Linked DNA regions of Danio rerio. The protein of the gene in region 1 interacts with the protein of each later gene in a biochemical or structural test. Links are inferred from orthologs where the notes say so. Each region holds a gene or a part of one and is shown in the gene's direction. Other genes may lie near its edges.

Evidence for each region. The genes of interacting proteins can lie anywhere in the genome.
Region 2: the proteins of magi1b (region 1) and crhr1 form a complex in vitro, tested with the Homo sapiens proteins (2 studies listed by BioGRID and IntAct, with this or other methods). The link is inferred for Danio rerio from reciprocal best matches to the Homo sapiens genes MAGI1 and CRHR1.
Region 3: the proteins of magi1b (region 1) and net1 form a complex in vitro, tested with the Homo sapiens proteins (3 studies listed by BioGRID and IntAct, with this or other methods). The link is inferred for Danio rerio from reciprocal best matches to the Homo sapiens genes MAGI1 and NET1.
Region 4: the proteins of magi1b (region 1) and fchsd2 form a complex in vitro, tested with the Homo sapiens proteins (2 studies listed by BioGRID and IntAct, with this or other methods). The link is inferred for Danio rerio from reciprocal best matches to the Homo sapiens genes MAGI1 and FCHSD2.
Region 5: the proteins of magi1b (region 1) and cysltr2b interact in a test that uses a peptide from one of them, tested with the Homo sapiens proteins (2 studies listed by IntAct, with this or other methods). The link is inferred for Danio rerio from reciprocal best matches to the Homo sapiens genes MAGI1 and CYSLTR2.

The regions. Positions count from the first base shown.
Region 1 is NC_133186.1:20,963,987-20,969,710, forward strand, and holds the start of magi1b (membrane-associated guanylate kinase, WW and PDZ domain-containing protein 1b), read left to right. Parts: upstream 1-2,275; 5' UTR 2,276-2,780; coding exon 2,781-3,078; intron 3,079-5,724. UniProt on the Homo sapiens protein: Plays a role in coupling actin fibers to cell junctions in endothelial cells, via its interaction with AMOTL2 and CDH5. May regulate acid-induced ASIC3 currents by modulating its expression at the cell surface.
Region 2 is NC_133178.1:20,602,845-20,607,851, forward strand, and holds part of crhr1 (corticotropin-releasing factor receptor 1), read left to right. Parts: intron 1-1,136; coding exon 1,137-1,272; intron 1,273-4,191; coding exon 4,192-4,233; intron 4,234-5,007.
Region 3 is NC_133179.1:12,143,064-12,147,629, reverse strand, and holds the end of net1 (neuroepithelial cell-transforming gene 1 protein), read left to right. Parts: coding exon 1-60; intron 61-149; coding exon 150-226; intron 227-311; coding exon 312-569; intron 570-664; coding exon 665-835; exon of another isoform or gene 836-1,025; intron 1,026-1,341; exon of another isoform or gene 1,342-1,431; coding exon 1,432-1,618; intron 1,619-1,711; coding exon 1,712-2,148; 3' UTR 2,149-3,427; downstream 3,428-4,566. UniProt on the Homo sapiens protein: Acts as a guanine nucleotide exchange factor (GEF) for RhoA GTPase. May be involved in activation of the SAPK/JNK pathway Stimulates genotoxic stress-induced RHOB activity in breast cancer cells leading to their cell death.
Region 4 is NC_133193.1:4,387,672-4,392,678, reverse strand, and holds part of fchsd2 (F-BAR and double SH3 domains protein 2), read left to right. Parts: intron 1-242; coding exon 243-420; intron 421-2,300; coding exon 2,301-2,521; intron 2,522-5,007. UniProt on the Homo sapiens protein: Adapter protein that plays a role in endocytosis via clathrin-coated pits. Contributes to the internalization of cell surface receptors, such as integrin ITGB1 and transferrin receptor.
Region 5 is NC_133190.1:3,193,302-3,197,322, reverse strand, and holds the end of cysltr2b (cysteinyl leukotriene receptor 2), read left to right. Parts: intron 1-1,202; 5' UTR 1,203-1,223; coding exon 1,224-2,210; 3' UTR 2,211-2,882; downstream 2,883-4,021. UniProt on the Homo sapiens protein: Receptor for cysteinyl leukotrienes. The response is mediated via a G-protein that activates a phosphatidylinositol-calcium second messenger system.

The DNA.
Region 1 (5,724 bases):
CGAGAAGTGACAGAGGTGAAGAAAATTCTTTGAAGTCTTTGAAATGGAGCTTTTGGTTATGTTGAAAAAAAAAAACGAGAGTGATAATGATGACAATATTGACATTAATAATAATTATTTTCTTGATAATAATGTTGATGTGGGCCATAATAATGCTGATGTGTGGTTATAGGCAAGACTACTTTTCATGTCTGTCCCAATGCACTATTATTGTTTAACCCACTACTTCTTCACTTTCATTCATAAATTCCCTGTCATGGCCTCATGAGAAGGTAAAGTGTCTATTGAAAGTGGCCTTTAGAATCTCAGCAACAGGAATAGGTTTTCTGGATACTTCTCACCTACTTTTTTTTAAAATACTATGAATTCTGAAATACTCATATATTGTTCGTTTTACATAATGTATAGTAGGCTAATGTGATTTTGGAAGCCGCGTTCAAGGCACATGTAAAAGGCATGAATGGAGCAATTTACTTACAATTTACTACATATACAATAGTTCAAATTTGAAGTGGATCCAGATCAAACAATAGACTCTTTTATCAAGACTGACTATGTTCACATGGACATCAGTAATCCAATTATTTACCTTAATCTGAATAAGCAATAATATGATTAAGGTGTTTACACGAGTTACTTTGTGAATGTTCCTTTTATGATCCTGTCTTACATGTTACAGCACAAAGATCGATAAACGTTGTTGCATCATCATGCTATCCACGTTTCCTCTGGAGTTTCATGTAATTTCAGATGTTTCATTTTTAATATTTCGGCTTTTACTGTAGTTAGGCAGTTTCAGTTTCATTCAGAAACATTTCATTCATGCCCCCGGTGACAAACTGAGGTATTGGATGTGTTTATGAATTAAAGAATGTTGGAAGTTTTAATGAAATTGGATACCGCATGCCGAATGAGAGAAAAAAAAACCTTTGCATTTCGTGGGATGTGTGTCTGTAGTCCTTTATTGACTCAATAGATGTGGAGAATAGTGTCATACAGCTTTGTGTGTATAGAATATACTGCCGAAAAACATGGTGAAAAATCCTCTGTTTACATGGTAAACTCTTAATCAGAGTTTTGTCTTAATCATATCAAAATTTGATTACTGGTGGCCATGTAAAGGAACTCAGTGTTATAATGTCTTTAATGGTCATCAGCATCTTAAATACTTGAAAGTTTTTAATATTTTAATAAAAAAAGCATATTAACATTTATATTTATTTATGTATGTTTTCTATCATCTTTGCATCAAATGATAAAATAGGAATTACCGCTTATGCAGATGTTTGAAATGCAGTGTATAGTGTATAGGCAGAACAGCAAATTTGATGCTTTCTCTTCTGTCTGTCATTATCACATAGTTTTTTTTTCTATTTTCTGAAAGTCTTGAAAACATCATTGCCAATTTTTATATTATTTTAGCAAATAGGATTGTATATATAAAAAAATTGTTGTACACTCCCATTCACTGTGCTCTAAGTTTATCCACTAAGACTTCTGCTACTGAGAAACTCGAAAATCTGAAAAGGGTTCATAGTTTTAGGACAATTTTGAAATTGTTTTGATTCACTTTAAATGTTGACTGTATAATTTAAATGAACCCTCATTCCAGTAAGAATCTTCAAGAGGATAAAACCAAGAATTTAGTAAATAATCTTCAAATAGACAATAGACAAATGGAAATTCTATTTGTAATGAATCATGATTTATTTTGGTAAGAGTTTGGAAAATAAGAAATTTTTTCGGACATCAAACATGATAGGCAGGTCGAACATGACTGACAAGGATTCATGTGGGATGAACGCTTACGCCAGGCTAAATTTCTTCACAAAGCAACAGTCTGGGCAAACAGACAAAACTGGTTGTGCAACAAATTGAGGAACGAATATTTATCTTTTTAAACAGCAAGTTTCACAAAAAAAAAAACCAAAAATCTTTCATGATTTTCAGCTCACACCTTGAATCTGGATATGTTTTCAATTAATGTCATTAACCAGTTTTAGATGCTGATAATAGCCTTGTATAAAGTCCAGGTGCGATTATTCATGGAGTATGTTTAAATTTATTTACTTGGAGGGCCTTTGAAGATTTATATGGGGAGAGACATTTAATCAAGAGTTTCCAGAAATCGGCTTAGGTTCGTAAATATGATTTCTTTCGTGACGGGCTTTAGGACCTGGTGACGTGCGCAGTGAGGATTGCCTTCAGGAGTCCGAAGGGAAATAATGCGCATGCGCTCCAGTGACATTCGCTCCATCCCGAGTCGCGAGCAGGCAGAACAGGATGAAATGTATCAAAACAGACGTCAAACGCTGTACCTGTTTAAAGGAGCCGTGAACCAGGAGGAAACGCTCGCTAACACTGCCTGTGTGCCAAAGAAAACTGCTGGAATGGTACTTTAAGTGTTTAAGAAACCGCTAAACTATTTTGAAAACAACTTCAGACTTGAAGAAGTGTATTTAAAGAGGTTTATGAAATGAAAAGGCAAGCAGATGCGCGCAACCGAGAATATTAAAGCGCGAGGATGAGGAAAACAATACGGGCTAATTAAGGAAGCGGTCGGAGTGGGAATTTCATTTAGTGAAGAGCCGGACAATGGCTTGATTTTGTTTTTGTTGAGCTTTTTCTTGGATCTTTTGGGGCTGCGAAGACGCTGCATTCATGACTGAGCGGACGGAGAAGAAAGTTTACCGCGTGGGATATTTCATTTTATGAAAGTGTTTCGTTTTGTCGTCTGTCAGCGGAGCCACCTGTTTCTGTGCGGATTTTATTGATTCATCATGTCCAAAGTGGTACAGAAGAAGAATCACTGGACCACCAAAGTTAACGAGTGCTCGGTCTCCAAGGACGCCCGTGGCGAGCTGAACGTGCAGCTGCTCGGTGGCGCGGAGAACGGAGAGTTCGCCTATATCGGACACGTTAACGAGACCGCCGTACAGTATAGAAATGGGAAAGTGTCCGAGGGGGAATTACTGCTGGAAGTGGAGACGCTTTCTGTCTCTGGATTGCCGCTGTATGATGTGCTGACAGTGATCAAGAACTGCAAAGGACCTATAAGGTTAAAAACTGTGAGGCAAGGTAAGCAGAGCGATTCCCCTTCACTTTTGTTTGGTTTGTGTGATGCATTTCATGTAAACAAGCCATTGAGGAACTGTTTCCTAAAATTAGCCGGGTATTATTTATTTATTTATTTATTTATTTATTTATTTATTTATTTATTTATTTTCACATGTTCACTAAATATAGGCTTGGCGACTTGGTTTGTTGGCTAATAGGCCTGTATTTATAAAAATATTTATTCATGTTTGCATGTGACTGCATAGGGCTAGTGGTTGTTAAGAAGCATGCTTTTATTTTAAAATTTCTTAATTTGTGTTATTTCATAATGTGTTTTCCTTTACTTTTATTACTTTTACTTTTATAACTACATTTTTATTTAGTTTATCTTTTAATTCTGTATTTTTATTTGTTATGTTAGTGGGGGTGATAGGAGGTGTAGTTGTTATTATTTTTCATGTCCAATAACATAATATGATATGAATAGATAAACAATTATTTGTGATAAATATTTTAGTTCTTTTGATCAATACAGTAAGAAAAGTATGTATATTTTATTTATTGTTTTATTTCTAATTTGCAAACTGTACATAATCATTACCACACCAACATAATATATGCTAAAATTATTATTTGTGTCTGTATAAATAATAATTTTTTTTCTATTGTTTATTTATTGCAACAAATACAGTAAGCTGAGTTATTACTACAGTAAGTGATTTATTATAATAAATATCTGATTTTCTCATTTTACCTAATTATAAATATTTTATTTTTTATTCACTATAGATTATTTATTTATTTGTTTATTCATTTGTTGAAACATGGTGGACTTGCAGTAGTTTCTGCATTTTTTTCATTTGTTTTTAAAATGTGGCATTACTTATGCATTTTTTCATACATTTGCAGCCTTGTTTTGCACTTCTTGTAAAGCATTTCGCACTTGATAATGAATGAATCTCTATTCAAGGGCATTGGATAACATTTCACCCCAGGTTACATTTAGCTGAACTGAAAAAAAAAAACTTTTGACAGAAGGTCAGATAATGTTGAACACTCTTTTGTACAGTCTTTGATACATTTTAAAGTACAATTTCCTAAATAAATTCACACGTAAAGCCGTTCTTCACATTTCTACACCCATTGGTGATGTATTCCGCTTTAATCCTTTATGAGAAGTTGACGAGTGAGCATAATTTGCAGGTAAAGGCACTACAGACCGTCCTTTGTGCTAAAGCAGTGGTGACTCCCCACAGGGCTCTGCCTCATCACATGGTTTGAGTTATGCTGCTTTCCCTCTCTCTATGCTTCTGCCTATTTCACCAAATGACTTCAGACAATATCAGGAAACCAGCCAATCAACTCGGACTGCATTCCCAGAGCACCACCGGGCCCAGATCCAGCTTTCTCCCTCACACACACACACATACTCCTCATATACATTCTGGTGTTGAGTTTCGCTGTTTATAATCTATCATGCTGTCTGGGAGTTTTCTGTTGTAACCAGCCTTAATTATGAAAATGTTTTTTTGGCAACACATGCCATCTGTGTTTCTGTGAGTTTGCGAAACAACAACGAAAAAACGTCTTTTATTTTTCACATCAGCACACAGATGATCTCAAACTCCCAGTGCTTTGGACTACAGTATGAATTATTGATATGAAATGCATTAAGCTCTGCTTGAAGTGGATTACGTGTGGTTCAAGAGTTTGTACGCTTTTGTTCATACAACAAGCACCTGTGGGTCTTCAAGGCAGTTGTATGGAGCTGTTTATTTGTGCAGACTGTTATTATTGTATAGTGTTTCTAATCACGAGCATGGCTTGTTCATAACCTTAGGCACAGTTAATGCAGCGCACAACAGATTCACTCATTAATCCTCATTGATTTTTACATTAAGATACACTCAGTCCTGTGGTGACCTCACTAACAGTCTGTGCCCTGGCAGCTCTCTCTCTGGAGGTAATATGTAATAAGAATACCTTTCAACGCTGTTGTATTGATTGATGGAATAAGCCTCTTATTCTTCAGCTGAGAAAACAGTTTTATTGGTAATGTCAGCAGAGTTGGACCACTTAGAGATGAAAGTTACAAGAGATGGCAGTTTTAGAAGTCTTAAAGTAAGGAAAATGTAAAAAGATTCATGGTCTGGGAAGTAATGCTCATTTTGCTAGTCTTGCCTGTTCATTTTTTTTCTGCAAAATATATTAAAATGCAATTACCCAACACCATAAAACTTGATAATTAAAAATTAATTTGAATTCAGAATAAATTAACAGAAAATGTAAAACTAATCAATCAAGTTAAACATATTAAAAAGTACAGAGAGTGTCACGGTGGCGGTGGGTAGCATGATTGCCTCACAGCAAGAAGGTCGCTGGTTCGAGCCCCGGCTAGGTCAGTTGGCGTTTCAGTGTCGAGTTTGCATGTTCTCTCCGTGTTGGCGTGGGTTTCCTCTGGGTGCTCCGGTTTCTCCTACAGTTTAAACACATGCAGTATAGGTAAATTGAGCAAGCTAAATTGGCCGTTGTGTATGTGTGTGAATGCAAGAGTGTATGGGTGTTTCCCAGTGTTGGGTTGCGGCTGCAAGGGCATCTACTGTGTAAAAAATATGTTGGATAAGTTGGCAGTTCATTCCGCTGTGGTGACCCCTAATTAATAAAAGG
Region 2 (5,007 bases), on another chromosome or scaffold:
AAATAAAATAAAAAAATTTAGACGAGGGCTAATAATTCTGAATTCTGAATTGTTTATGCCAGAAATCATTAGAAAGTTGGGTAAAGATCACGTTCCATGAGGACATTTTGTAAATGTACTATTGTAAATATATATTCCAAACAGATTTTATTTTTTAGTAATGTGGATTGCTAAGGACTACATTTTAAAGATTTAAAGGCGATGTTGTCAATATTTAGTTTGCTTGTTTTTGTGATTCCTCGGATTTCAGATTTTAAAATAGTAATATCTTAGCCAAATATTGTCCTATCAAAGTATACATTCCGCTTATTTATTCAAATTTATAAATCTCTGTTTAAAAAATGCACTTATATCTGGTGTATGGAGCCAGAGTTGTGGATTTATGAATTCTATGAATGCAAATGTATTATTTTTGAGACTGATCTGGCTCCATACTGGTTTTGTGGTTTAGGGTCACATATTTCAATTACTGAGACAAACTCAAGTTTATTTTGCATTTTTATTTTGCTAATAATTATGGGATAGTCCTTTTATTATGTTATAATGACATGCTTTATTTCTTTTATGGCTTTAAAAACCTGGAAACTTGTTCAGAAAAAATCTTAACAATAAGGTACAAACATAAAAACATGCATACATTTATATACAAATACACTGCAACAAACAAATACATTGGATCAAATATATTATGTATAAACATAAAAATACAACTATGGGGCCAGAACTGACCATAGAAATATTCCCAATAAATAATAACATTAGAAGCTAAAACCATTTCTGAATTCTAGTGTCAACAAACAGATCTTCACAAATAGTAGTATTGTTTATTTTAATCATATACATTTTAAAAAAAAATTTTTTTTATTTATTTGTTAAAATTTTGTATTGTATTTATTCTAGTGTATTTTCTGGCCACCTGTATGTAATTTGATTTACATTTTACATAATACGATTGATACAGTATGTATTTGTATATTCTAGAGCATTTGTATGTAAATGTATATGTGTGTTTATATGTTTGCATCTTGTTGAGGCCATGGATATTGTATTTTCCCCTTGTACAGTGACGTTGAACTTGGAAAAGGCATTCTATAAATAAATCTTTTTATTATTTTTATTTCTCTGAAATCTCACAGGAAAGCAGTAAAAGCCACACTGGTTCTGCTGCCTCTGCTGGGCATCACATACATGCTGTTCTTCGTCAACCCTGGCGAGGATGAGATCTCACAGATTGTCTTCATTTACTTCAACTCTTTCCTAGAGTCCTTTCAGGTGAGCAAACACAAATTTTGGTCCTGTGCTGACATATTGTTTTATTGCTAGTCAGAATCTGATATTTACAACTCAAAAGTTTAATTACTAAGAATGAATAGATTTTTATATTTTTATTTCAAAATCTGAAGATGTGATCACACTGCAATTTTCGTCCCATAGACTTCCATACATATGCTTGGAAATTCAGACTAGAAAAACTAGCTTGTGTGACAAGTTTTGCATGTTGTGGGAATTCTGATATGGTAGTTCACATCACGTGATTGTGGGAGCCCAATATGGAGCAATAGATTGCTTTACCGATGTCTAATTATTTTTTTTTATCCCACCCTTTACTCTTCATCATGTGGTTTTAAACCTTCATAAGTTTCTTTCTTCTATTAAACACAAAGAACATTGATTTTTACAGTTAGGTTTTCCCTACTGAAGAACTGCAGAAATAGACCCAAAGAGGTTTAAAACCATGTGAGGGAGAGTAAATGATTTGGTAATCTTCATTTTTGACTGACTAAATTTAAATCCACAGTATGGACTTGTTTCTGTCATTTTGTTAATGTGTTTCTGCTTGGGTTAATTTTTCAAAAAGCTAGCTCTGACCAATAATTTATGTTTAAAATCATCTATCATTTAATCATAAATCAAGGAAAACAGGTTAACACATGTACGTGATCAATGCATTGTCAGCTTGTGAAGCGTAATTGGGTTAAGAACATGCATATAAACACACATTTGTGACTGAATCTAAATATAGCTCTGTGCTATGTAGGTGCATTCAGCACAGGTGTTTTGATTTTGTCTAAAAACAACATACTGTACACTAAAATAGTCCAACTGTTTGGTATACTCACTAAACGTTTTGCTTTTGCAAAAACAAATCCTTTTAAACCTGTTGCACAACTCATTGTTTGTTTTTGAAGTTTAGTTTTCTAGAAAATCTCACGCATGTGTTCGTAAATCCTTGTATTCTTTCTCTGAGATCTGTTTCTCATAGCAATTTAGATCTGTGTCATCTGATGCACACAAGGTCAACTCGGTCTCCTGTTTGCAGCATTTGCTTATTGGCTTGACCCTAGGGGTCTTTCACGCATGTTGAAGCCATGTTTTCCACAGATGCATCTGGCTCCACATCTGTCCAGATCCTCATGGGGATGACAGTTCATCTGTAGGGATTTTAGCAAAACATGGAGTAAAAGTTTTTGGTTTATTCTCTTTAGAAAAAAAAAAAAGTTTATTAATAAAATCAAAAAACTTTTTTTTTAAATATCATTTGAAAGGTTTCTTTGAGCTTTTTGCCTGCAGGCAGCACTTTAAAAATGGAGGAAAAGTAATTCAAAACAGATTTTTGTTTTATTACATTTCATAATGACTAAAAGCATTGTGAATGAAAAAACTGCATCTTGATAAAATAAATTATAAAAAATTTGACAGATGTTTTTGGCAAATACCATTGTCCATGGCTTAAAGACAAAAAGGAGTTTCAAGCACCAAAACAATACAGTTTATGAAGAAAAAAAAATACTTACTAAAATGGAATTAAGTGTAACGGTAGATGATACCTAATGAGTCGTGTCATATTCAAAACAAGAGTCATTAGATGGCATATTAAAATACATTTTATATGTAAGGATCAAAGTTCAGTCACAAAATGAAAAACTTATGTATATGTCTATGTATAAGTACATGTGTATAATGTTTACTTTTCACTGAAACTTGTTAAATAGACTCTGTAAAATTAGAAAAAAAAAGATGTTTAACTTTAAGAACCATTGAAAATACGGTGTTCTAATGTTAAAGACGAAGAGCTGTACAGTGGGATTTGAAGCAGAGCCTTTAGTCTATTGTGAACCACTTTAAAAAGATAACTGATTCTGAAAAAGGCATATTTTAAATGCTACGAATTGTACAAGAATTACATGACAGCTCAATTAATAATTTTAATAATTTAAACTTAATAATTTTTTAAACACCATTTTAGTGACAAAATTATTAGCCACTTTAAGCAATTTATTTCTATAGTCTACAAAACAAATCATCATTACACAATAACTTGCCTAATTACCCTAACCTGCCTAGTTAACCTAATTAACCTAGTTAAGCCTTTTAATGTCACTAAGCTGTATAGAAGTGTATCTAGTCAAATATTATTTACTGTCATCATGGCAAAGATAAAATAAATCAGTTATTAGAAATGAGTTGTTAAAACTATTATGTTTAGAAATGTGCTGAAAAAACTTCTCTCCGTTACCAGAAATTTGGGGAAAAAATAAACAAGGAGCAAATGGTTCATAATAGCAATGGTTATTAATTCTGCATACATATTTAAAAATAACAGATTTTTTTTCTCTGTTTGTGTGTGTGCGTGCGTGTGTGTGCGTGTGTGTGTGTGCTATTCAACTGCATTATGGGGTATTATATTTTATTCTAACTTTGGGTATTAAAACATTTATAAAAATGGACTTTTATTTTATTTTTAATAGTTTGAAGTCATATCTGGGTTGGGGTTGTGAATTACAGTACAAAAACCTGGTAATAAAAAATCTGTACTTATTTTGTTATTTTACTTTTTTTTTTTTTTACTGTATAATATGTTATATTCTTTCAAATCACTAAAATGTCGATAAAAGTCACCACTTTAGAGTTGTATTTTGAACATCAAAAGTAGACAGAGCATAGATAAAGGTCCCTTATAATTAATAAAGGTCCCTTATAATAAACATAATTAATAACCGTGAATAAACAGAAAACACATAAATTACAGAAACTGTTCATTTTTACAGTGCATGTTTAGTAAAGCAGTATAGTGAACTCTGTCTCAGCTTGGCTTTAAAAAGTGTTTAAACGGAAGATTGAGTGTTATTTTAAAAAGTCTATTTTTGTAATTATTTTCTCAAATGTAAATGTCTCTCGTTTTCTTTACAGGGCTTTTTTGTGTCAGTGTTCTACTGCTTTTTGAACAGTGAGGTAAGCAACTGATTTCCCTATTCTGTTTTTTTTTTTTTTGTTTTTTTTGCACACATATGCCCTCTGCTGTAACCCTGCTGTAGCTTAACTAAAGTTGTGGTGTAGTTTGTGGTGTAGTGTTTGTGTAATTTGGGCAATTCAGATTCCTTCAGCCATGGCAGTCCATTGAAACCAGACCAAAAAAGGACCCTCCTAACACTGTTAACCAAAAATCACCCTTTTGACATTCAGTAACTAAAAATAAAAAAACAACTCATAAAATATACATCCCTACGAGGTCTAAATCTGGCTTGTATTACATGCCCTTTGAAAAGGACAGTAAACCTTTGGGAATTTCCAGCCTAAATGCTCCTCTTTAGCATCATGCCCAGATCACAAGCACCAGCAGTTTTTACACATCATGTTGTCCTCTTTAAAAAAAATAAGCTTACAGGTGCTGTAAAACAATCCAGCATCGGATCCGTCTGGTCTGTTTTGTTTGTCATTTTATCCAGTGAACAAGTTGAAGTTGAGCAGAAAAGTGTGAGGTTTGATCTGAGGTCACCCTGAATCACAGATGGATATCAGAATACACCAGCAAAGCAGAGAGTACAGTGTTGCTTAACGTCAAAACGATAACATTGATCTGTTCCCGGTACATATGAAAGGGACACCGCAATGTCAGGCGCGAGACCTCCAGATCACAAGGTGCTTTTGGCTCCAATGCGGCTACGCAAACATATTTCAAACCAAAAAGACTGTGGTGCAAAATTACAGTTACAATAGCAAACACTT
Region 3 (4,566 bases), on another chromosome or scaffold:
CTGAAGAGGAGTTAACAGCCATCTTTGGAGATTTGGATGCTTACATTCCCCTTCATGAAGGTAAATAACCTACCATATTTACATGACACACCTAATTACTGCGTGAGATAACAAGTAGTGTTAACGTACTTTTTTTTTTACCCTATCAGATCTTCTTGATCAATTGGCAAAGGCCACAGGTACGGATGGCACAGTGAGACAGATCGGCAAGATTGTTGTTGACTGGGTAAGCATCTTTTCGTTGTTCATTATTATGAGGCAAATTAATTGTGGTTCATTCGGAATGTTAAAACTCTCACTTTCCACCACAGCTGCCAAGGTTAAATGCATACAGAGCATACTGTAGCAACCAACTAGCTGCCAAAGCCCTCCTCGATCAGAAGAAACAGGACCCAAGAGTTCAAGACTTCCTGCAGCGCTGCCTTGAGTCACCTTTCAGCAGGAAACTAGACTTATGGAGCTTCCTGGACATCCCTCGCTCACGTTTGGTCAAATACCCTCTTCTTCTGAAAGAGATTTTAAGACACACACCACCAGATCACCCAGACAAAGGAAGTCTTGAGCAAGCGGTAAGAGCAAGCACCGATCTAACAACTGCAGGCCTTCAGATACACTTGTTTTGGGGACATTCGGTTTTAATATTGCCTTCGTTCTTTGTCTCCAGATAAGTGTCATTCAAGCAGTGCTGGCTGACATAAACATGAAGAAAGGGGAGTCAGAATGTCAATACTATATCGATAAGCTGGAATATTTGGAAGACAAGCAGAAAGACCCACGCATTGAGCAGTGCAAGAGCTTGCTTTGCCATGGGGAACTTCGCAACAAAAGTGGCACGGTGAGTTTAACATCCATCACAGTCTAAACCGCTGGAGGCAAATCAGGCTTTTATTCTTGGGAATTAGAAACATAAAGCCACTATATTCCAAATAAGGCTATCAGATGGATTCAATTGGCTTCCTTTGTCTGTCAAGCACATGACACAATAACAGTGGAATCTTTGAAAGTGCCAGGAGAGAAAACTGTTGGTCCCACTTTATATTAAGTGTCCTTAACTACTATGTACTTACATAAAAAATAAGTACAATGTACTTACTGTGTTTATAATGTATTTGAGAACACTTGGGGTGCTTTTGAATTGGGATAGAGGTTGGGTTATGGACAGGTTTGGTGGCATGGGTGGGTTAAGGTGTAAGGGATGGTCAACAGTGTATTTACAAATGTATCTACAAAAGTTAATTACATGTATTTAATCAAGCATAAGTACACAGTAAATACATGTATTTACACAATAAGTACATTGTAACAAACTATTAGTTCCTGTGTAAGTACATATTAGTTAAGGCCACTTAATATAAAATGGGACCAAACTGTTTAATCAGTCTAATGTTCAAATAACATGTTAATAACCAGTGCTCTCTTCTCCCTCTTTAGAAACTGCACGTATTTCTGTTCACCGAGGTTCTGATTCTGACTCGACCTGTGACGCGGAATGACCGCCATTGCTTCCAGGTGTACCGTCAGCCAATCCCAGTCCAGGATCTTGTATTGGAAGACCTGCAGGATGGAGACGTCCGCATGGGAGGATCATTCAGAGGAGCCTTTAGTAACGCTGATAAAGGTAAGTTGACACCTCTTAGTATTGTGTGAATCACACTCTTTCCTTTTTTGTTGTTTCCTTTGGCTCAACTGAATCCTTTTTTTCTCCCTATAGCCAAAAACATTTTCCGGGTGCGCTTCCAGGACGCATCTCAGGGACAGTCGCACACACTGCAGGTCAACGACGTCTTCCACAAGCAACAGTGGCTCAACTGCCTCCGCAATGCCATGTCCACCCAGAAGGATTTGACACTCTCTGAGAATGAGCCCTTGACCACCCCAGCCACCGACGTTTGCGCCAAACGGCGCTCTTCTTCTGTCTCCACTGTCATCCAAATGGATGAAATGGATGAGAACTGTCCACGGGCTGCAGCCTCCGCCCCTTCCTCCCCTAGCTCTGAGGAGCCCCCCAGTCCTACACCCTCCGCCACCTCCACCCTCTCCTCATCCTCATCATCGTCTTCAATATCCGCCCCCATCCCCTCCCGCAAATCCAAAAAGGACAAGCGTTCGCTCTGCCCGTTGGGCAAGAGGAAGGAGACCATGGTGTAGATGGAGTGGCACCATGCGGAGGACTTGTATTTATGTGTGTGTGTATGGTTTTTACAGCAGTGTTTCTGTTACTGTCCACAATGGCAGCTATTACTACCAAATCCCTCCCCCCAGCAAACCCTCCTTGGTCCACATGGGCCGCACCAGTACCAGAAAGACAGTATTTGTGAGGCGACTGTGTGGATCTCAAGGGATTGAAGATTGAAGACGCATCCCAATCACTATGAAACACTTTGATTTGTGTGAAAGCGCAAGATCACACAACTTGTCTTGTTTACTGTTAGTTTGGTCGTTTTATTTTATTAATAATGATTTTTCTTTTTGTAATTAAAGTTTATCTTTTTTTAAACTTCTCAATAAGATATTTACTGTAGCTCTTTTTGTTTTTTAATAAAAGCACTGTGTTTAGCTTTTAGAAGGGAATACCACCCACTGAGAGGGGAAAAAGACCTCCAAAGCAATGAAAATTACTTTGTACTGAGTCTGAACCAAAGCTCTACTGGAAGGCAAGTCTTACAAGTACATTCCCATTAAACAATATTTTATCAGCTCCATTTTATATTTAAATCAGAAGGTATAGTTTTTTTTTTCAAAACAAATGCTATGTCAGTAGCAATATGATTTATACATTTCCAATTGGAAAATTTGCTCTTTTGTTTATACAAAAACCCCAAAATCTGAGCCATATTTGTTTTCCACCCCCTTAAAATGATGGATGACTTTCAATGTAGCATCTTGCATGGAGCTTTACTTGTTGAGTCCTGCCTGTATTATCATGAGGGCCCAGTGCATGTACATGCCTGTCGAAGCAGAAAGTTGATGTAAAGTGGACTGTCGTGTAAAAAGTTGAATGAGGGCTAGAGAAATGTCGAGTTGAGATTTAGAAGGAAGCTTTGGAATAGAGTTGGAAATGACTAGATGGACTTGATGATTGACGCTACTTGATATTAGCAAGCATCCATGGATTTTTGGTTTGCTGTTATTTGTCATTTCGTAGTGTCTTCATGAAGTAGGAACGTTTGAAACACTGGTGTAAAGCCAGGGTGTTGTTTTGAGAAGGAAGATGAAAAGTATGTTTAGGAGAATGAACTGTTAAAGAAGGTTAAAGTATGTTATGACCACTTCAAAAAAAAAAAAAAAAAATGTCTGTAAAAGTGTGTAACCGAAAGGAATAGATGTAAATTATTCAGAAGGACTGCTGTGGACTGTATGTACAGTATGTGGTGTAAAAATCAACTATTAAATGAACAATAAAGGTCTGTGTAAGATTTGCATCTGACAACTGAGTTCTTTCTTTTTTTTCCCTGATGTGAGTTCCTCCACTGCACTACAAATCTAAACGATTTTCCGAGACCTTATGAAACCTATAACACATGCCGATGTGATTATGAGAAAGCTATCTTGAAATTGTTTCCATAAATTCCAGATAGACAGACACTCAATAAACATACAGACACAGAATCACCCACACGCAGGTTAATTAGTTAAACTACTTCTGTGTTTTTCTCTGTTCACAATGAATCACTCAATAGTTTTTTAAATAAATCCGCCAGTGTGGGCCACATGCCTAAATCATCTTCCATTTTTAGCATTTGGATGATTTTCATACTCTGAATCTGTGTCTTATCCAGCTCTACTGCCCTAACCCCCCTCTCCATTTGATCTAGAACTTGGCAGCCGCATAAAGAAAATAAGCCTGTATTAAACAAATACCTTCATTTATCTCCTTGAACCCCCTTCACTGATGGTATTTGCCTCTGGTAATCTCTTTAGTGGGAGGCCCAAAACAAATGTGCTGTCAGGAGTCACTTAGCACGTCCGTTGATTCGCTTTGGAGTTTGGGTTCGAGTAAAACACGGTCACTTTGTTTGTCTGACGATCAATCCTAGAGTTTTGTATGTGAACACTGACGATGCTTCCCAAGAATGCGATCGGTTCTTGTTTAAAGCTAATCTCAACCAACGAGTTCACAGCATGGATTGATTTTATGTGCATTAAGTCATTTGGCAGTTGGATAATCAAAATGGCCTTTCCACGCTTGGCAAGTCTGTTTTTAGGAGGTTCAGGTTTTATGGAGATATTGCCTCATGTCTGCCTTTTAGGGATAACGGAATTTGTTCATTTTTGCCCAGGGAGGCTGTCTGCTGTTGCTGATTTACTTAAAGAAGCAAGGACAATTTTGGGAATAGGCTCATTTTACAACTTCCCTGGAGTTAAACAGTTGAGTTCTACTATTTTTGAGTTCATTCATCCAATCTTTGGGTCGGGCCGGAGCACTTTTAGCTTAGCTTAGCATAAATCTGGAGTTATATTGTGTAATAAGACCAACAAAAAAATGTTAAGTTGATCATTACACGGGAATAAGAGTGTAGTTCCTAGCCATATCCACTTAGAAAATAGCTAATTATCTTTTCCCCT
Region 4 (5,007 bases), on another chromosome or scaffold:
GTTAGCCACGCCTACTTGTAGCTTCATTTGCGCTATTCATCTTTTACAGTCTATGGTTTTCCCCCATCCACACTGACACGGAGCAGCAGCATTTTAAAACCAAAACGGCCTCTCTAGCGTTTCCAAAACACTCCCATTTTGGGGCTGAAAATCTCTGGTGTAGTGTGCAGACGGAAGGCGTAACCTTAGGTCTCCTCATTAAAGTCTGCCTCTAAATGTTGTGTTGCATTTGTTGGTTGCAGGCGCGGAATAAGACCGGGCAGGTGGGCTACGTTCCAGAGAAGTACCTGCAGTTCCCCACCTCTAACAGTGTACTGAGCATGCTCCAATCCCTCGCCGCGCTGGACGCCAGATCACACTCCTCCAGCAACTCCACTGAGCCTGAGCTGGCATCAGGCAGCTTCAATGGAGACAGCAGCAGTAAGACACGCAACCATACACACATACAAATCAAAAACACAAACACACACATACAAAACACACATGCAAACACACACACACAACTCTAAGAAACATACAAACACACACAAAACACACATGAAAACACATACAAATAGACACACACACATATACTGTATACACACACACAAAACATAAATAGCCACAAACACAATTACACACACACACAGTTGCACGGGGGCACAAACATACACATAAACACAAACAAACACACATACTGTACAAACACACATACTGTACAAACACACATACTGTACAAACACATACACACACACACCGAGAGACAACCACATAAACACACACACACACACATACATACACACATACAAAAACACACATGCAAACACACACATACAAACAGGAACACATGCACACACACAAACACACACAAAACAGACATACATACAAACAGGCACAAACATGAACACACACACAAGCAAACACATACGAACACACACAAAACACACACATATCCAAACGCAACACAAAACAAATACACAAGCGTATGCAGACACATACAAACACACAAACACACATACAAACAGATAAAAACACGAACACACACACATACAAATGAACACGTACACAAGCAAACACACACTAAACACACACATACAAACTCAAAACACAGACATGCATACAAAGAAGCACAAACACGAACACACACATACAAACACACACAAAACACGTTCAGACACAAACATGAACACACACAAGCAAACAAACACACACATACACATACAAACAGACACAAACACAAGCAAACACACATACAAACAAAAAACACACGTATACAAACACACACAAAACACACACACATATAAACACACACAAGAAAACACAAAACACACATACAAGCAAACACAAACACACACCTACAAACACACAAAACATACACACAGAAGCAGACAAAACACGAACACACAAAACACTCACATACAAGCACATAGAAACACACACTTATACAAACACACAAAAAACACACATACAAATACACACAAAACACATACACGCAAACAAACACACACAAATACACATACTATATAAAAACACACACACACATAGACTGTCACATATACAAACAAACACACACACTCAAAACATACACTCAATACACAGACATAAACGTACAAAAAAACACACACACACAAACACTCATATACAAACACACACAAAACACACACCAACACATACAAACATACACAAAACATAGACACATTGTACATCCAAATAAACAAGCAAACACACACACACACACACAAACACACACAAAAACACACAAATACACACAAGCACACACAAATTGTACATACAGAGACAAACATGAACACACAAAACACACTCATGAAACACGCAAACACACACTATACAAACACACACACAGAGACTGTCACATATACAAACAAACACACACACATACACTCAAAACACACACTCAACACATACACATACAAAAACACACACACACACAAAACACACCAACACAAACAAACATACAAAAAACATAGAGATATTGTACATACAAACAAGCAAACACACGCAAAAAACACACATATACAAATACACACAAACACATACAAATTGTACATACAGAGACAAACATGAACCCACACATAAAACACACAAACAAACACAAAACACACATGCACACCTTAATGAGGTTTAATCTTATATAAACTTATTTAAAGTGAAGCGTTAGTGTTGTAGTGTGCTTTATTGTAAGAATGTGATCCCTAACTAGTCCACTTGTGTCTTCAAATCACCTCCAGCAAATGTAGACGAGCTCCAACTGTATTCACACCTATTGTTAAGCACTGTCCTCTCCTCTGTGTGTCTCCCAGTGAGTTTTGTGAAGGCCATGTATGACTATGAGGGTCAGACGGACGAGGAGCTGTCGTTCCCTGAAGGCGCCATCATTCGCATCCTCAACAAGGACAACCAGGAGGACGACGGCTTCTGGGAGGGCGAGTTTAACGGCCGAGTGGGCGTCTTTCCCTCCGTCCTGGTGGAGGATCTGACGGCCTCCGAAAATGGAGACGCTCACTGGGGAACAGACGCACAGGTGAGAGACGGGAATCTACACAAATCTACACATTCAGACTTTCTGCTCCTCCTTTATCCACTATTCCCTACATCGGCGTTTCTCAATTCTGCTCTCGTGCTGCATATTTTGCGTGTCTGTCTCATTTAACACAGCTGATTTAGATTTTTAATAATAATACATTTTATTTGAGGTGCCTTTAAACCACTCATGATCACCTTACATAAGAAGAAGCAGCAGTTTCAAAATGACACTAATATAATGATACTATGGGCCTACTCACACTGTTATCCGTATGGTGCCCAGGCCCGTTTCCCGTATCGTTTGAGAAGTGTGAGTGCGCTGAATCAGGCTCAGTCACGGTTCACTTGGCCGGCCCTGGCCCGGTTATAAGAGGTGGGCCTGAGCGCGGTTCACTTGGGCTTTGTCGCGGTATGCTTGTAGTGTGAGTGCAAAATGCGCCAAAGCCCGAAACTGAAAGCGAGACGTGACTTTTAAGGGGCTGTTACATATGGATTTATTAATCATTCTTACTGTTCAGTGATCGCAAACTGCCGTAGTTTATTAAAGACAAGAACTCCTCACTGCACGACAGCTGCACGGCTTCAGCAGACCTCCTCATTCCTGCAGCACGAGAGCCTTATGATTGTTTATGAGCGCCGAAAGTGGCGGATCTGTTCGGCGAAATATCTGACTGCGTCATCGCATCCCTAAGGACTGTTTGGCGAAATATTTGACTGCATATTAAACGACTGAAACGATATAACTAGAGAAATCTCCACTGTGCTGCTGAGTGAGAGAGCGCTTCTCACTGAACAGTGCAGCAGCGATGACGTAAGCGTGCCGAAGCCCATTTGTGGTGTGAGCGCGGGCCGTCGGGGGAGATGGGAGGGGGGACAAGCGTGCTTTGGCCCAGTTCGAGGCAACTGTACCTAGTGTGAGTACGGCCTAAATCAACACATTCAGACTCTCTGCTCCTCCTTTATCCTCATTCACTATTCCCTACATCGGCGTTTCTCAATTCTGCTCTCGTGCTGCATATTTTGCGTGTCTGTCTCATTTTACACAGCTGATTTAGATTTTTAATAATAATACATTTTATTTGAGGTGCCTTTTAAACCACTCATGATCACCTTACATAAGAAGAAGCAGCAGTTTCAAAATGACACTAATATAATAACACTACTTACACTATGCTATCCGAACCGTGCCCAGGCCCGTTTCCCAGATCGTTTGAGAAGTGTGAGTGCGCTAAATCGGGCTCAGGCACGGTTCACTTGGCCGGCCCTGGCCCGGTTATAAGAGGTGGGCCTGAGCGCGGTTCACTTGGGCTTTGGTGCGGTATGCTTGTAGTGTGAGTGCAAAACGCGCCAAAGCCCGAAACTGAAAGCAAGACGTGACTTTTAAGGGGCTGTTTCATATGGATTTATTAATCATTCTTACTGTTCAGTGAACGCAAACTGCCGTAGTTTATTAAAGACGCAAACCCCTCACTGCACGACAGCTGCACCTTCAGCAAACCTCCTCATTCCTGCAGCACGAGGACTTTATGATAGTTTATGAGCGCCGAAAGTGGCGGATCTGTTCGGCGAAATATCTGACTGCGTCACCACATCCCTAAGGACTGTTTGGCGAAATATTTGACTGCATATTAAACGACTGAAACGATATAACTAGAGAAATCTCCACTGTGCTGCTGAGTGAGAGAGCGCTTTTCACTGAACAGCGCAGCAGCGATGACGTAAGCGCGCCGAGGCCCAATTGTGGTATGAGCGCGGGCCGTCGGGGGGAACTAGAGGGGGGACAAGCGTGCTTTTTTCCGGTTCGAGGCAACTGTACCTAGTACAGCCTATAATTAGACTCTCTAGGATTCTGCCATCTGTGGATTTAACAGAAGCTCAAGCAAAAGTTGCAAACTTCCAGCATATTTTGGACAATTTGGGACCTACCTGCCAACATTCAGATCATAAAATCCTGGAGTGTGCGCAAAGTGAAGAGCGAGGGCAGGGCCGGATTAACCAATGGGGAAAGAAAGAGGAGAGGAGGCATCTTTATTGAGGCATGTTCCATACACACCTTCTTTAAACAGACCCATGATCAGGAGAACGAGGCTATGAAGAAGACCTTATGGTAACGTTAGATGAGTAAGCTAGCATTAACCAGACGGAGGAGGCTAACGGCAGCGCAGCTCAAACAGGATTCATCATGTCAGAGAGACAGACAGAGAGAGGGAGAAAGAGAGAGAAAGGCCCTGAAGAAGAGAGAGACCGAAGAGGTATAATGTGTGTGATTTCGGATACTTTTAGGTTTATAATCAAGTTGATCTATGCTGTTTGCCTGCTCTTCATCACGAGGAGAGTAGAGAATATACGAGGAGAAGAAGAGAGAGACAATAAATCATTAATAAGTGTATGTATTATGAAAGACTCAGATTCATAGAACTGGATTGGAGAAGCATTGTGTGTTATATGCCATGCCAATAATATGCTTCATACGTTTGTAAAAGT
Region 5 (4,021 bases), on another chromosome or scaffold:
AACCCGGTCTAAACTCCGGCGCAGAGTTGCGCCTCGCTTACACACTGCTTAATACACACAAGAGAGCAACAGGCAAATATCTTTACATATGAAAAAATTTAAATATTAAGGATATATATAGAATATAATAAGAATAGATATAGGATATAAATATAAAGGATTAAAATATTACAAAACTTATTATTTTCTAGCCTACATGAAAATGAAAAATCACTGCTTTTATGTCTTCTTCATCTCGGGAGGCTTTTTCAGTTCATTCATAACAATCTGCTTTTATAAAATGTTATTATTATTAGCAGTATTATTTATTATATCCATATTTATATTTGTTTTATTAAAAAAAGCTTAGATTTGCCCACCTGTCAGGTTTTAGACCATATGGGGCACAGCATGTGTTTTAGGATATAACTCAGGTTTTTGACCACACTTGGTCATTATTGTTCATTTATTTGTTTGCTGGAAATTAGAACTGAATTTAGAAATAGTTTTGAAACGAATGTTTGCGCTTAACAAACGCAATTAATTATTTATAGGCTAATTGATGTCTGTGCATAAAGGTTTCTCTATCCAAGAGCGAAAGTGAAAGTGATCCATTATCTCTCATTCTCATGCAGTAGATGCTCTGTTTAACTGTTTTCTGTTAAAAAAACTGTCAACTGTTTACTGTTTGCTTGTGAAATGCTCATTTTTTCCACTTAGACTTACTTTGCGTCCTGTAAATAGCGAATGCGCTCTTGGCGTGACGCAGCTGGCTCTTAAAGGGAATGGGAGATGAGACTCTGATTGGTTTATTCTCAAAACACACCTATAACTCATTAAGAAAATAAACTCAACACTTTTAGCCCATGCGCCTTGGCGCAAAGCGCATTTTCCTGTCCGTAAATTAGCAAAAATGCGTTCTGACACGCCCTGAAAGCGTTTGCGCCCTGCGTTTTGCGTTCTGCGCATGGACCGTCAAAATAGAGCCCAAAGTTTTTTGGAATTTCCTACATTGTAAAAAACGCGGGCTTCCACACAACTCTTAACACAAATTGATTAATGCAAAACACAGATTTAAGTGATTTAACATAAAACATTTAAGTGGTCCCCTCCCAAAATTGTTCCAACTCATTTTGAATAAATAGTTTTGAATAAGCAATTTTTTGAGTGTAATTTGAAAATGATTCATTTTATTGTTGATTCATTGTCTGTCTTGTTCACAGATTTAATCCCCTGTACCAACAATGAGGAGTTTGGATACGGTCCCCACAAACAACTGCTCCATCAGCCAGTTCAAGCACACCGTCTACCCCATCGCCTACCTGTTCATCTTCTTCCTCGGGCTGGTCGGCAACATCACCTCGCTCGTCTTCTTCGTTGCTTCTTCAGTCCGAAAAAAGGTGTCTTTAACTCCGGTGAACATCCTCATGCTCAATCTCCTGCTGTCGGATCTGATGCTGGTGTGCTCGCTGCCTTTCCGGGCCTCCTACTTCCTCATGGACTCCAATTGGGTTTTTGGAGATGTAACCTGCCGGATCATGTCTTACGTCTTCTACATTAATATGTACGGAAGTGTCTACTTTCTGACCGTACTTAGTATGGTTCGGTTCGTGGCCATTGTCAAGCCGTTCGCGTATGTACGCTGGCAAAACCCACGACGGGCCTGGATCATCTGCGTTGTTATTTGGATGATCGTTTCTCTGGCCTCCATCCCGCTTCTGAAAGCAGGAACGCATGAGGAGAATGAAAAAACCAGATGTCTGGATTTGGGACACTCCAATTTGGAAACTATTATCATTTTAAACCGTGGTGTGCTGTTTTTGGGATTTGTCGTGCCTTTCGCGATCATCTCTGTGTGTTATATCTTTGCGGCTGTGTATTTGATAAAGCTCAAGAAGAGGAACCAAAGATCTCAGTTCAACCAGAAAAAGTCCTGCTCTCTCGTCATCATAGTTTTACTGATTTTCCTGGCCTGCTTCATGCCTTATCATGTCGTCCGAACTCTATTTTTGGAGGCTGAGAGGGATATTAAAATCAACGGTTATGGCGATTCTTGCCTTTACATCGAAACTTTAAGAAAAGCGGCAGTCGTCACACACGTTCTGGCGTCTGGAAACAGCTGTCTGGATCCGCTGCTGTTCATTTTTGTTGGGGAAAACTTCATCCGCTTTTGGAAGCACCAGTCACCCAGAAGACAGAGTTGTATGATTGAGCAGAATGTAAAAGCGTAAACAAATGTCATATAAAGAGAGACGATTACGACTGGTATGAAGTCTGTGGGATCTGTTGGGACTTGAGAGGGGGAAATTCCCGGAAAAAAAGGCCATATCTGTGTTGGATCACGACAAGGAAGAACTCGATTAACCTCGCAAGTCATGATGGTTATGTGTCTGTCTAGAGTTGACTGAACTTGTATATACGTTTGCAAAACAAACAAAAAAAGTTGTGCTTATTATGCTAATAGCAAACTTTGGTTCATAACAAACAATGTCTGTTAATTAACTGTGCCTATATTTTGTGATTCAGTGGTGTTTTCCGTTTATTTATGCTCATGAATTGCATTGTTGGACTCCAGTCTTCACTTTTAGTGTTTAAATATTAACTCTGCAGCTAAACATAGAGACTTTTGTTGACATTTCAGTAGTTTAAAACAATTTAATGTATACAAAACTTTATATAAACTATATATGAGCAATATCACACAAGTAGCAGTGCGATATGGCTGTATATTGCCCTGGTTGGGAGGCGTGCACCAGTGACGATAAACTGTAAAGTCATATCGCACTGCTACAAGTTTAATATTGGGTTTTTAAAGCAGTTTGATGGCATAATTGTGTGGATAAAAACAAAATCTAACAAGTAGAGTCTCAAAAACCCTTTTGTATAAGGAACTACTTTCTTCCACCATTCATTCACATTCGCAGCTGATGTCACAACAGCAGAAATCATTGCTACTTCACCAGCGTCACTTTAGAGCTAGTGTTTGAATGCTTCTCTAGCGTAATGTCTAAAGTGATGACAAAACAAGTGATTTTTACTCACATTTCAAAATTATAAGGCTTTCCCAATATTTCTTTGTTGCATTCGGGAAATCACAATACTTAACCCCTGAAAAAGCTAAAGCAATGCAAACGCTAGCAGAATACTATTGTGTTTGCGATAAGGAAAAACAGTAAACACATGCAGGCATTTCTTCTTTCTTTCTGTTTACTGAACTAGTCTTACCAGTTATCAGTTCTAGAATGATCTGATCAGCTGTAGTTAAAAATTACGATGTTTTCCTCCTCGAAGGACTTATTATGCAGTCTCTGACACCATCTTGTGGATAAACAACGTCAACTGTCTTTGCTCCGCTCAATGACAAGCTAATGGCCATCGACGCGCTGTCTCTCAGAAGTTATAAATATTTAAAATAGGCACTATCTATCCTGAAAAAACAGCTTAAACACATCTATTGGTTGGCTGGTTTTAGCTGGTCAATCAGCCTGGTTTCAAAGGGGTTTTGGCCTTTTTCATGCTGGTTTCCAGCCTGGTTTTAGCTGGTAATCTTCCAGCTTGATCAGTTAATCAGTTAGCCTGGTTTAAACTGGATATAGCTGGTTTTAGTTGGGCTACCAGTCTGGCTAGGCTGGTCAAGCTGGTTTTCGCTGGTCATCTCCCACCTCCCAGCCTAATCGGCTTAGGCTGGTTTAAGCTGTTTATTTGTTCAGTAAAGATCCTTACTAAGATAAACTGCATATTTGCAATCTAAACGACTACATTATCGACTAAAAAAGCCTCAAAGTACATGATGTTGTCCAACAGCTGTAATATTTGTCAAACTAGAGCGTCCTCTGCTTGTTGCTGTATGTAGGCGGAGTAATACACAAGGGTGAAGGGTGAAGAGGCTAGACGAGTGCTGTTATTTGCAGAATATCGCACGCCTATCAGTCAATCAGATTCCAGACAGAACTGTTGAATATATATATATATATATATATATATATATATATATATATATATATATATATATATATATACACACACACACACACACACACAC